Schizosaccharomyces pombe: one gene and its partners. The gene in region 1 interacts genetically with each later gene. Each region holds a gene or a part of one and is shown in the gene's direction. Other genes may lie near its edges.

The links.
Region 2: mutations in the13 (region 1) and rhp1602 together harm fitness less than expected from each alone (positive genetic interaction), as found in Schizosaccharomyces pombe (one large-scale study listed by BioGRID).
Region 3: mutations in the13 (region 1) and opy1 together harm fitness more than expected from each alone (negative genetic interaction), as found in Schizosaccharomyces pombe (one large-scale study listed by BioGRID).

What each region holds. Positions count from the first base shown.
Region 1 is NC_003423.3:3,753,914-3,757,155, forward strand, and holds the13 (acyl-CoA thioesterase), read left to right. Parts: upstream 1-1,935; 5' UTR 1,936-2,019; coding exon 2,020-2,505; 3' UTR 2,506-2,736; downstream 2,737-3,242. Other genes in the region: transcription factor TFIIH complex subunit Tfb2, read left to right, coding at 157-479, 525-1,545; glutathione-specific gamma-glutamylcyclotransferase Ggg1, read left to right, coding at 2,744-3,242.
Region 2 is NC_003423.3:435,590-440,848, reverse strand, and holds rhp1602 (DNA translocase Rhp16b), read left to right. Parts: upstream 1-2,040; 5' UTR 2,041-2,071; coding exon 2,072-2,860; exon of another isoform or gene 2,861-2,912; coding exon 2,913-4,616; 3' UTR 4,617-4,759; downstream 4,760-5,259. Other genes in the region: nucleoporin Nup107, read left to right, coding at 1-1,575; peroxin pex11, read right to left, coding at 4,876-5,038, 5,088-5,259.
Region 3 is NC_003421.2:944,016-948,121, reverse strand, and holds opy1 (protein opy1), read left to right. Parts: upstream 1-1,737; 5' UTR 1,738-1,861; coding exon 1,862-1,981; exon of another isoform or gene 1,982-2,262; coding exon 2,263-2,325; exon of another isoform or gene 2,326-2,375; coding exon 2,376-2,451; exon of another isoform or gene 2,452-2,489; coding exon 2,490-3,250; 3' UTR 3,251-3,606; downstream 3,607-4,106. Other genes in the region: ade10 (bifunctional IMP cyclohydrolase/phosphoribosylaminoimidazolecarboxamideformyltransferase), read left to right, coding at 1-290; pog1 (DNA polymerase), read right to left, coding at 3,650-4,106. UniProt on the Schizosaccharomyces pombe protein: Binds phosphatidylinositol 4,5-bisphosphate (PtdIns(4,5)P2/PIP2) at the cell membrane.

The sequences.
Region 1 (3,242 bases):
GTCTCGCGATGATTGCTTATCTGGCATTTATGGAAGATTGATAATCGTAAATAAGTTTATTAGTTGAGTACACTGGATTTTGTTCTATTCAGCTGAATAAAGAGAGATTACAACCGCCAATTTAAACCTTTTGAAGTAGGTTCGCAAATTGTCACCATGCAAGCAGAATTCAAGTCTAGTATCAACGACTTCCTGGAACAGTTACCAAATCATGCAAGGCTTTACCAAAAGCCAGCTGCTTGTCTTGCTGTGTTTCGTTTATTGCCAATTCTAGCTAGACAGTATGTCATGTCTATGCTTTTCAATCCTATGCCAGTAGCACTCTCAGATTTCGATTTATGGATCAAACTTTCGAGTAAAGTTTATCAATCTGAATCCTTCAACAAACTGGTTAGGATGCATATATTTCAATTTGATGGACAATATATCACTCTAAATAGTGAATTTCGCAAACAATTTATAACTGCTCTGACTGGAGGGTAAGTTTTATTGAATTTTGAGTATAAACTAATTAAGCTTTTTAGAGGAAATCACAATTCGTTTGGCGTGCCATGTACCGATGAAGACAAGCACTTGGTGACGGTTGATTTTCTTGACGCATATGCGAAAGAAACTTGGGAAACAATCTTGCACTTCATGGTAGGAACTCCGGAAGCTAAATTTCCTGGAGAAGGTGTCTTAAGTCTATTAAAGCGGGGCGGTTTAATGTCTGGTCCAAAAAACCAGCTACGTATTACCCGTGCCGGTTTTCAGTTTCTGTTACAGGATATAAATGCTCAAATTTGGACGTTACTTTTGGATTATTTAAAACTATCTGAAGACACGCATATGGATCCTGTTCAGGTTTTGCACTTTTTATTTATGCTTGGAAGTTTGGATTTGGGGAGGGCATACTCAGTGGACTTCTTAACAGATACACAACAAATCATGCTTGAAGACCTAAGAGAATATGGATTAGTTTATCAAAGAAAAATTACTTCCAAGCGTTTCTATCCAACCAGACTGGCAACAGGTCTGACAACTGATTATCGCTCATTGCATGGAAAGCAAAGTGAAAATGATGATGATAAAGGTTTTATTATTGTAGAAACAAATTACCGATTATATGCTTACACAAGCTCCCCATTACAGATTGCCATCATCGGATTGTTTGCTAACTTAAGGGCGCGTTTTTCAAATCTTGTTGTCGGTGTGATAACTCGGGATAGTATTCGTCGTGCTTTGATGAATGGAATTGCAGCGGAGCAAATTATTACATACTTGACAACTCATGCTCACCCTCAGATGAGATCGAATGTTCCTCTTTTACCTCCTACATTAGTAGATCAAATTTATTTATGGGAATTGGAAAAAAATAGACTTCGGGCTACTCCTGGAATTTTGTTTCGCGATTTTCTTACTGATTCTGGCTTCGACCAAGCAGTAGAGTACGCAAAAGAACTCGGGGTTTTGGTTTGGGACAGTTCCTTGAAAAGAATGTTTTTCATAACTACGACAGGCGCCCAGCCCATGATCGCATACTTGAAAAGACGAGCTGTCAAATGAATATTTTTTGGATGGTTCAAAAGAGAAGTGGTAATTAGAAAATATTAAATTAATCTCAAATCACTTGTAAGTAATTTACTGGTGTCAATAAACATATATATAACATAAGCTCAACATTAGCCATGTTAACTATACGCGTGTTGGATATTTATACGAAATTCAAGTTTTAATGATGCAACTCTTTAACGTTCAAATTATGAATTTCTTCTTCTCGTCATTAGAAAAAAAAAATATCCGTTATTTGAATAATCCAAACAATATTCATATTCTTGTATTTAATGTTCATTTAATTATATTACCATTTGTAATAATGATTTGGTGATATTACTATAGGCAGGCAAATGGCTTGTAAATCCTTACTAACTACAAGTATCGCTGCTGCGAGTAGCCAAGAACTGCCACAACATAACCAATTCACCTGAGGTACTTACTTTTACAGTGATTGATACCTGTTAAACGAAGTTTTAAGACACAATGGCAATTAATAGCTCTGGTACTAAGGTGCTTTCTTTCGTTCGTTCTGTTTGGCAGGATTTTGTAAATACCAATGGGTTTGATGCTCATGTAGTCAGTGATATACAAATTATAAGTGCAGTTCCAGGATTTGTAGAATGCTCTCTGAAACTGCAGAAGCATCACCTAAATCGTATGGGTAATTTGCATGGCGGTTGTATTGCAGCACTCACTGATTTGGGAGGAAGTTTAGCATTGGCCAGTCGAGGGCTTTTTATTTCTGGCGTGTCAATAGATATGAATCAAACTTTTTTACAAAGTGGTGGTACTTTAGGTTCATCAATTTTACTGCACGCAAAGTGTGATCGATTAGGATCAAACATTGCTTTTACGAGCGTTGATTTTTTGACATCTTCTAATGAGGTCTTTGCTAAAGGTAGGCATACTAAGTTTGTTCGAAATGCTTTAGGAGATCCTAGAAATTGCCTTGACTTAGCCGAAGATTAATTCTGCCTATATTTTATATCTTTCTCTGGCTATTCGCTTTTTCTGCTCTGTTTTACTCGCTAATGTTGATATGTTTTACACGATTTTTTCAGTTTTCATAAATTTAGGAATTAAAATAAGGGATTTTGCTATCCGTCGTTATCTATTGTAAGCTCATGTTATGGTTCGGAACATGCTCGCGTTTTAGTTTACAGTCACCGGTTTCCTTTTAATAACGAAACTTGGGCTGAATTCGCTCATGAAAACACTTAGTCCGGAAGGGAGTTTATGGGTGTTTGGTTATGGCTCTTTAATTTGGCATCCGCCTCCTCACTATGACTATAGTATTCCATGTTTTATAAAAGGTTATGTTCGCAGATTCTGGATGCGTAGTGAGGATCATAGGGGCACTGTTAACTCACCTGGTCTCGTTCTCACCTTGATACCTTATGAAGAATGGAAGCAATTTTCTGACTGGTCTTTCACCCCGTTTGATGAAGGATGCTGGGGTATGGCATTTCGCATTCCTGCAAAATATGCGACGCAAGTGCGAGAATACTTGGATGATAGAGAAGTCAATGGTTATACCGCCCATAGTGTTCCCGTTTATGCCCATACCGGTGATGAAATTCCGGTTTTGGAGAATTGTCTCGTTTACGTGGGTACTTCAAAGAGTCCCCAATTTCAGCCCTCAGACGACCTAACTCAAATGGCTAAAATCATTTCTACACGAAGAGGAAAGAGCGGAGATAACTTTG
Region 2 (5,259 bases), 3.3 Mb from region 1:
AGAGATAACCTCATCGACGATGTTTTGCAATCCGAGACTTCCGGTAATAAAAGAAAGGAACTCTTGCGCAGATCATGTTTAGCACTTACAAAAAATAAACGGATAGACTCTTATGAACGCGCTCTTTATGGCGCTTTATGTGGAGACTTGAACTCCGTCCTTGATGTGTGCACAACTTGGGAGGATGCGATGTGGGCTTATTATAATAGTATGACTCAGTACAATTTGGATGTTTATCTTTCTTCTAAGGCTCCTCAAACAGAAACACAATTGCCTCCAGTGGATAGTGGTTTAGGCTTAACTCCCGAATTGATTTTTAATTCGCTGAGTAACAGCTCTATTGCTTCAATCCAAGAAGAAGCATCACATCCCCTAATTAAACTTCAAACTCATATCATTTGTAATAAAATTTCGGAAATTTTGAGCTCTGCTCACATACAGTTGGAAGCAATTCGGACTGGAAATGCCCCTGAGTCTGGGGATTTGGTTACACCTCCTCTTCTTCGAATACTGACACACATAATTTTATTTTTGAAGATTTCAGGTCTTGCTGTGGATGAATATACTTCTGACTCTATTATCCAAGCGTATATTGAGTTATTGGCTAGTGCTAAAAAAGTTAACTTGGTTCCATTGTATATTCAGTACCTATCAAATCAAGTGCAGTACGAGGCTTATTCTCGATTCCTTATTCTTGTTGATGAAGAAAGTGCAAGATCAGAACAACTTCAATTAGCAAAAAAATATTCATTAGATATTAATCATGCGGCGTTACTAGCTGTTGAATATGTGTATGATGAAGTTGTCTCTGTTTCTCCCGAAGAAGTTCACACAGTATATTTAAAATCTATTGAGGAGCCAGTTGAACCATCTTATAAAAAGCTCATCTGCACCCTTGAATGGTTATTAATCACTTCACAGACAGATGAGCTGCTCCGATTTGCAAACCTTGTATATCGTTTCTTTTTAAGCATTGGCGAGCTAAATAGTGCATACGATCTTTATACACATATTCCCTCTGATGCTTTGAATACGCTAAGCTCTAGCGATGGTGAACCCGAAAACGATTCTAAGTTTAGAGATGCGTATGAACTGATGAACTATCGAGCTCTCTGCAGAGCACTTAAATTTTATCAAGAATGGGAAGAGCTTTCTAAACAAGAAGTATTTGAAGATTCTGCAGTTACGAAAGCTAGCACTTCTTATAAAGTTTGGAAAAAAAAATTGAATTTTGCCTCTCGTAAATGTGTAAAGTCCTTCACAGACTTACTTCAAGCTAACTGGCTTCACCCGTCTACATTGGAGCTGAAACCAGATGATGATCCTTTGCTTTATAAAACTCTTATGACTATTCGGAATTTGTATGTGCCTGAACTAATTCTCGGTTTGCATAATGTTTATTTTAGCCTTGAGGACTATGATAGCTGTTTTGCTCTGGCTAACGAAGTTGCCAGTGAAGATTTAAAACTTTACCATTGTCTTATTAAAAGTGGCAGACTGGTTGAATATGTTTCTTATTTAGGAAAGGCCGGAGAATGTAGCCTTTCAACCCCTAATGGGCTTTTTTCTTTATAAGTGTCAATGTATAAGAGATTCAATTCGAAAACTAATAGTGATGCTGCAAATGTGGTATCATCTTCGCATTGATAACCAGTTTATCTTAATACGTTGATTTTAAAACTAAGCTGAAAAACTTCCATAACTTTTGACTATTTCTAATATAAATTTTTTTTTCCAAAAAGTTAGACTATGAACTAAATCCAGAATTGCAGACACTTTGTTGCAAACATTCTTATAAAATTGTTTGAAAGTTCGGTTAATTAGGACCATTGCGCAAGTTCTTAAATCCTATAGTCGATTTGAGCAGTCTTTACAAATTTCGACTCGAAAACTGTGTTAGTGGATATATTGTGTAGGGTTTACTTTTATACTCAAAAAAACATTAAAGTAAGCAAATAGAAATATTTGAGTTCTTGACACCAATCTTCACTTAGTAAGAACCCATCGTATACAAGCTATTTCTACTACCACTGAATGTTCACGTTCAGTGCAATTTGCTTGAGGGAGCTTGATGGAAAAAGCGTCTAAAAATAAGGAAAGTGGGGTTAAAAAAGCGAATAACTCTTTTTTACAAAATTTCGGTGTAAATACAGCAGGGAAAGAAAATGAATCTACTTCATTACCAAGGTTGCCCAAAAGCGAAGATGAATCCATCCCAAAACAATCTATAAAATCTAAGAATAAAAAGAAAACCCAACATTTTCTTTCTGATGCTTTTGAAAGCTTAAAGAGACAGGAGATAGATACAAACGAAAAGGAAGTAATCGTCTCCGCGCCTATAACTAGTAAACCAGCTCAGGTTTTTTATAGTAAAAAATTGGAACGTAAGGATGAGGGAATAAGGAAATGGGAGAAAGATCCATTTGCCCCTATCTCAGTAAAATCTGGTGCGTGGAAGAAACCATATACCAAGGTTCCTGAAGTCTCAATAAATAAAGCAACTTCGAAAAGAACGGACTTGATAAATGATAAGCCTATTGTGATTCCAATTCCCAGAGCTTCTACTTCAACGCTATATTTTGGTAAGCACAATAAACCAACTTCTGAAAATAGAAAAGGCCCCATAGGTATACCCACTGAAGAAATCTTAACTTCCCAAAATACTCAAGCAATGCTACATAAACTGTTTGAGAATAATGTGCTGGACAATGTTAAGGACGATTCAATGCAGAGGCAGTCCTCGTTTATTCCTGGCATGCATATACGTCTACTAGATCATCAAGTCCAAGGACTTACTTGGCTCAAATCAAGAGAAACGGTGTCTAAATCTTCGGCTTCCGGCGGAATTCTAGCAGATGATGTAAGTCATGAAAATATTATTTGTTGTTATTCAGTGCTAATAATTTTTTTAGATGGGATTGGGAAAAACTATTCAAATGATCGCTTTAATTCTTTCGCATCCCTTACCAAAGAAGAAGCATTCAATCAAATCCACTTTGGTAGTAGCTCCACTCAGTTTAATTAAACAGTGGGAATCAGAAGTGCAGACGAAAAGCAAGTTGACAGCAATCGTTTATCATGGAGCATCCAGATATAAATTACTTAAAGTAATTCACGAATACGATGTAGTAATAACCACGTATCAAATACTAGTTTCGGAATGGGTGTCTCACAATACTACAGGTACAGACGGCAAATCGCCTACTGAAGCTAAAAGTTATGAAAAGAAAAAGCCAAGCTTGTTTGCCTTCTATTGGTGGAGGATAATACTGGATGAAGCACACACTATAAAAAATAAATCTTCTAAATCAGCTCTTGCCTGTTGCGCATTACAGGGCATCAATCGCTGGTGTCTCACTGGGACACCTTTACAAAACAATGTAGATGAACTTTACTCACTTGTGAAATTTCTTCATATTAATCCATTTAACGACCAATCTGTTTGGAAAGATCAAATTTCTTTACCTTTATGTCAAGGAGAGGAAAACTTGGTTTTTAAAAGACTTCGAATGCTTCTGAGTGTAATCATGTTACGACGAACGAAGACTTTGTTAGAGGCAAACGCGGGCAAAGATGGTACAGGTGGTGCTTTAAAACTTTCAAAGCGTTTGGTGTATAAGGTTATTTGTAAATTTGAAGAAAGTGAACGTGACTTTTACAGTAACTTGGCACGAAACATGGAACGAACGATGTCAAATTTTGTTAATTCGGGGAAATTAGGCAAGAACTATACTAACATACTGTGTCTTCTCTTGCGTCTACGACAGGCTTGCAATCATCCTCAGTCTTTAAATTTTCAATTTGAACAAGACGTTGATGCATTTAATGCGTTGGATGGGGCAGCAAACACGAACAAATTAGCTTCCGATCAAGATGTTGATGATTTGGCAAACCTATTAGAAACAGTTGAAATAGGAAGCCGTAAAAAGTCTTTTTGTACAATTTGTATGGCCGAGCTTCCTCCCGATTTTCATGAAAAAAAATGCAAAGATTGTTCTCGAAATTTTAAAGAATTGGATAAAGGAATTCAAGACCCTAATGATAAGACGCTATACAAGTCATCCAAAATTAGGGAAATCCTCAAAATTTTATCTCTAGATGAACAAGAAGAGGATGATACAGTTCGGGGGTTACGAAAAACAATAATTTTTTCTCAATTTACCACTTTTTTGGATATCATTGACTTACATTTGAGGAAAGCCGGTATAGGTTTTGTTCGGTATGACGGTCGCATGAACAATCGTGCTAGAGAAAAATCTTTGGACCTCCTTCGCTCTGATAGTGGAACTCAAGTACTATTATGCTCTTTAAAGTGCGGTGCTCTTGGTTTAAATTTAACATGTGCAAGTCGTGTAATACTTTGCGATGTTTGGTGGAACCCTGCAATTGAAGAACAAGCTATCGATAGAGTACATCGTATTGGACAAAGACGTGATGTACTTGTTTATAAGCTAGTGGTTGAAAATACAATTGAAGAAAAAATTGTCGAACTTCAGAATCTTAAACGAGACCTTGCCAAGCAGGCTCTCGGAGATGGCAAAAAGTCGGTTTTTACCTCCAAAAAATTAACACTTAATGATCTTTTGTTTCTATTTAACAAGCGTGCCGCGGCTTAAAAATCAGAAGGTGATAAAGGACCTAGCTTTTGAACTAAATTTTTGGTACGTGAATCGTTGTATGACTTTAGACGACTGTTTAATGAATAATATCTACTATTACATATGTTATTAAAAATATTAGAAAATATCATTTAGTCAAATGATTAAGTAAAAGTAAAATACTGAAGGAATGCACCTGGATGTAAATCTATATAAGGTAGATATTTGCCGAATGATACACCATTCGTAAAACATTGTAATCTGAAAAGAAAGCAATTTAGTAACTACCAATCCATGTTTTATAGACACTCATAAGACTCGTGGTAATACCAGCAGCAGCCACGAATCCGTCATTAACCTTAAGGATATCCAGTTCGGCAAGAGGAATTGTAGCGTCCAAAGCGTTTTGCAAAGCAAAGAACAAAATTTCCTTACGCTCTCTGCACAAATGTGGTTAGATATGAAAAATATGCATAAAAAGAAACTTACTTTTGCAAAGTCTGCAAACTGGTCGAATCTTTCTCAGATGCTTCTTGCGTTGCACTCTTGATCTTCTTCGAGTTTTGCTGTAGCTCATAGCATCCAGCTAAACAGGAAGAAAGCAGAGCGACAGCAAGACATTGCTTTCCAATCGTAGAAATCTGCTTTGAATGGGAGCAAG
Region 3 (4,106 bases), on another chromosome or scaffold:
CCGTTCCTGCTGAAGGTAGTGAACGTGAGCAATGGGAGTCTGCATTCGAGACTATTCCCGAGCCTCTTACTAAAAAGGAGCGGGAGGAATTTTTGGCTACTTGCAAGGATGTTGTCTGTGCCAGTGATGCCTTCTTCCCCTTCCCTGACAACATCTATCGTCTTGCCCAAAGCGGTGTCAAATATGTTGCTGCACCTGGCGGTAGTGTCATGGATCAAGCTGTTCGCGACACTGCTAATGAGTTCAACATGGTCTTTTCCGAGATCCCCTTGCGTTTGTTCCACCATTAATCTTGTTTGTATACCTAATTTTTGACCACTATTACTATGGATATAATTTTTTTTGTTCTGTATATTTGATAGGTTTCCTCAGTTTATACCATCATTTAATAGAGGTATTACAATAAAGACTTCAACGTCTTTTACTTTTTTTGATTTAATATAAAAAAATTTGGCATCTTTTTTGTATCCTGAATTTTGAAAAGATTTCCGATACTCAAGGCATTTTATTTCAGTAATAGTAGGGAAAATATTTTTTATTGTTTAACACGAATGCAACAATTTTATTCGAAAGCTTGGAAATTCACAGCATAACGGGCTCAATAAAGCATTTTTGGTTGCTAAGCTAACATATGAAGTAGAAAGGAAAACGCCATCAAACCTGCTTTTTGGATGTGAGCTTCGCAGTAAACTGACTGAGTTAAACATGTTCTTGGGTGTTTGCAAATTTCTATTAAATTGATTGAGCGTATGTTTTTGCTGCAGTTGATTTGAAGCATAAAAAATCCGGTCAGGGAGGGACTCGAACCCTCGACCTCACGATTAACAGTCGTGCGCAATAACCAACTATGCTACCCGACCTTAGTTACTCACGAGCAAAATTAGTACTATTTAATGGTATTAAAAAGGATTTAATGACTTTAAAATTGTTTTTTTTTTAACCCCATTCTTGCTTGATATATTTCCCATCTTAAAGGGTTACATACTCTTATTCTTTTATCTTTCATTCGATTGTGATTGATTTACCATATCAATAATCATCTTACAAGACCGGAAACTATCAACTATCTGGACGTAAAGTGAAGCATAAAGAAGATGGCATAGAGGACGGAAGGGAATTTTTATTATTATTCCAAGAAACCATGCTAAAATCACGTTTAAACCCTACTCCCTACTAACTCAGTATCTACTGAGTAGCTTTCATAGGTCTCGAACCGAATGGGAAAGACCAACGCTTTCTACATTAGAGAAAGTGGTTCTCTAAAAAATATTTAAAAAAGTATTTCTTTCTTGTTGCTTTTCTTTTTGTTACAGCGAACAAGTGCTCCCTTTAAATAGCTTTTTTGTTTTCATCCTGCCAGTCCTTACAACAATCCCTTACCACTGTGCACCAATACAACCTAAAGTTGAATTTCTGTAACAGTAGGATTTACAAAAGTTCTTTTGATTCTTAATTAGTATACGAGATGTAGCACTTCTACACGATTACTGTGTCCATGTACTATATGGTTGTATGCCTCTCAAAATAAAGATGACATATTTTCAGACTACCTTTTTCAAAAAGAAGGCTTCTCAATTCTACTGCTACAATTTATTCGTACTATCATTTCTATTATTGAAATTTCTCTACCATACATTTTAATTTCACTTGACAAATAGCGATACGTTAATGAACGCTATTACTGAATATGTACGTCGCTGGTACCACTAACACGTATGCGTTAGGAAACGTGATTTTAACCAAAATCTGTATAGAGGACGACTTTACATCGTTCTAGTTTAACACCTTTCAGTTTAAGGAATTTTCTTGATGTATTCAAAAGAAAGAAGGCGTTTATTAGTTTGACTATTCGCTTGATGAAATGGACCCAGGAGTTTCATCGCATCTCAGAACTGCTAGCCTTGATGAAGCAAGAAGGCTTCCAGAGCTTGAGCGTGTTTTAAAATCCGGATGGTTGATAAAGAAAGGACATGCAACTTCTGTATGTATTCATTAACTTAGTTGTCTGAGTAATATTTACGATACGTTTGAGTGGAAAGGGATTTGGAGTATTCTTTAATTTTGTGAAGTGTACTTAGAAGTGAATGATACGTACTCTTAATTCTTTATTGTTCGCTTTTGATTTGGGGATATGATGATGCAAACAGCACCCTACAAGCACTTTGACCAATTGATTTTCAGAATATTCCAATTATTTGCTTCCCGTTTCAGAGTCAATATTTGCACTCATGGTTTTTTTTGTAGTGGATGCTAACAACCTAGACTAAAAAGCAATTATGGGCTGTTCTTCGCAGAGATCAGTTATCTTTTTACAAAGACGAAAAGGTTTGTGAATAAAATGTGCAAATTTCAACGACGCGCTAACAGTCTTCAAGGAGTACAAAACCAAATTTATTTTCCCTACTCAGGATATTTCAGCTGTTGCCTACTACAAAGAAAAATCACCAAAAAGTACGTTAGAATTTTTGATGTTTATATCTAATGTTTAGCTTTTTTCCTGTATTTAAATGAAAAGATAATTCGTCTCATTGCCACTTCAAATGAGGATGCTGAGGAATGGGTTCATGTTCTAAGATCCACAACGGGTTATAGGGCACCGTTTTCAAGACATCCTATCAGTTATATCCTTGCGAACTCTTCATCTCGAACCGAAAGCGAGCCTAACGTTCAGATCTCTGATACTGACTTCGACAATATTTCGACTGAACCTCGTAATCAAACGACTTCTCCTTTAGACTTGGAAACTGGTCAGGGTGACCATTTCTGTACTTCACTTTATGATTTGATACAGTTTGGAAAGTTGAGACCACCAGGTATCAATGAAGAAAATGCAAATTACCCCTTCAACCCACAAGAAGTTAATACGCTGAATAAGCACAGGCATTCGGCTTCCTTACAAAATCTCTATAAACTCTTGGATGAAAATAAAGTTCTTATGCAAGGAACCATTCACTGGCTACATGGAAATTTACATAGGTGGTCCAAGTGTTGGGCTGTTGTTCGTGGATATGGTATGACTATTTACAACACGAACCGAGAGTACAAACCTGTTAAAGTGATACCGATAGCCGACATTCAGGATGTTGCTGAAATAAACGTTCCGGAAAGCTCACACAAATACTTTTTTACCGTAATTACGCAAAACAAACCTATCGAATTTCGCGTTGATAACGAAGATTCACTTATACTCTGGGTTGCTGCACTTAAGACTTCTATTGACAAGGCCAATGGTACTTTTACTGCTTGTTAAAAATGGCTTTTCCATCAAAATATTTGGTGCATAATACGATTCCTCAGCTACTTTTCTAGCTACCTTCTTGTGATTTCCTTTCATAAGACTCCCCTTACCCTTCGTGTACATACGTGTTGATCCGTTCTGTTTCTATATGTTTTGACTATCTCGTTGTTTTTTTTTTGTCTAATAATATTTCCGATAATGTCCGAAAATCGACACAGCTAGTTACAAAAGTGTCTTTCTTGCTCTAATTTAATGATTTTTTTCCTTCGTCATGAGCCAGTTTGTAGTACCATCGTTCGCTCCACTAAACAAACCTTTTGATGAAAATTATTTTCAATGTCATAACTATCCCTAAAATTATCCTAACCGAAAAACACATTTTTTAACTAAAATAAATTATTCTTTTGCTGATCAGTAAAATGCTTGTGCTTTTAAATATGCAATGTTTTTTTTGTCTTCTTCTGTAATCTCTGCTGAAGTAGTAGCTTTAACATCCACAAAACACTGAATTTGCTCAAGTGGCTCAAGTGATTGACCGGACTGCTCGAGTTTTTCTAGAACTGACTCTATAGTAAGCTCTTCTCCAGGAGGTATGGGGACTTTGTTAGAGGGTGTTACACAGTCCATCTTAACATCTTTTCTTAGTACATGGTCAATATCAACGGAAGAAAAAAATGCGACAGATTGTGGAAGCTCGTTGATGCCAAGTCGTTGACAAAAAAACGCACGAGTCCACAAGTTAGCCACCTGTAAGGCAAATGCAACCCGATATTTATCTTTATCTGATGATAAATAACGAACCTCGTCATGAACAGTTAAAGAAAGGCGAGCTTCTAGATAATATTTCTTAATTAAATGATTCATGGAT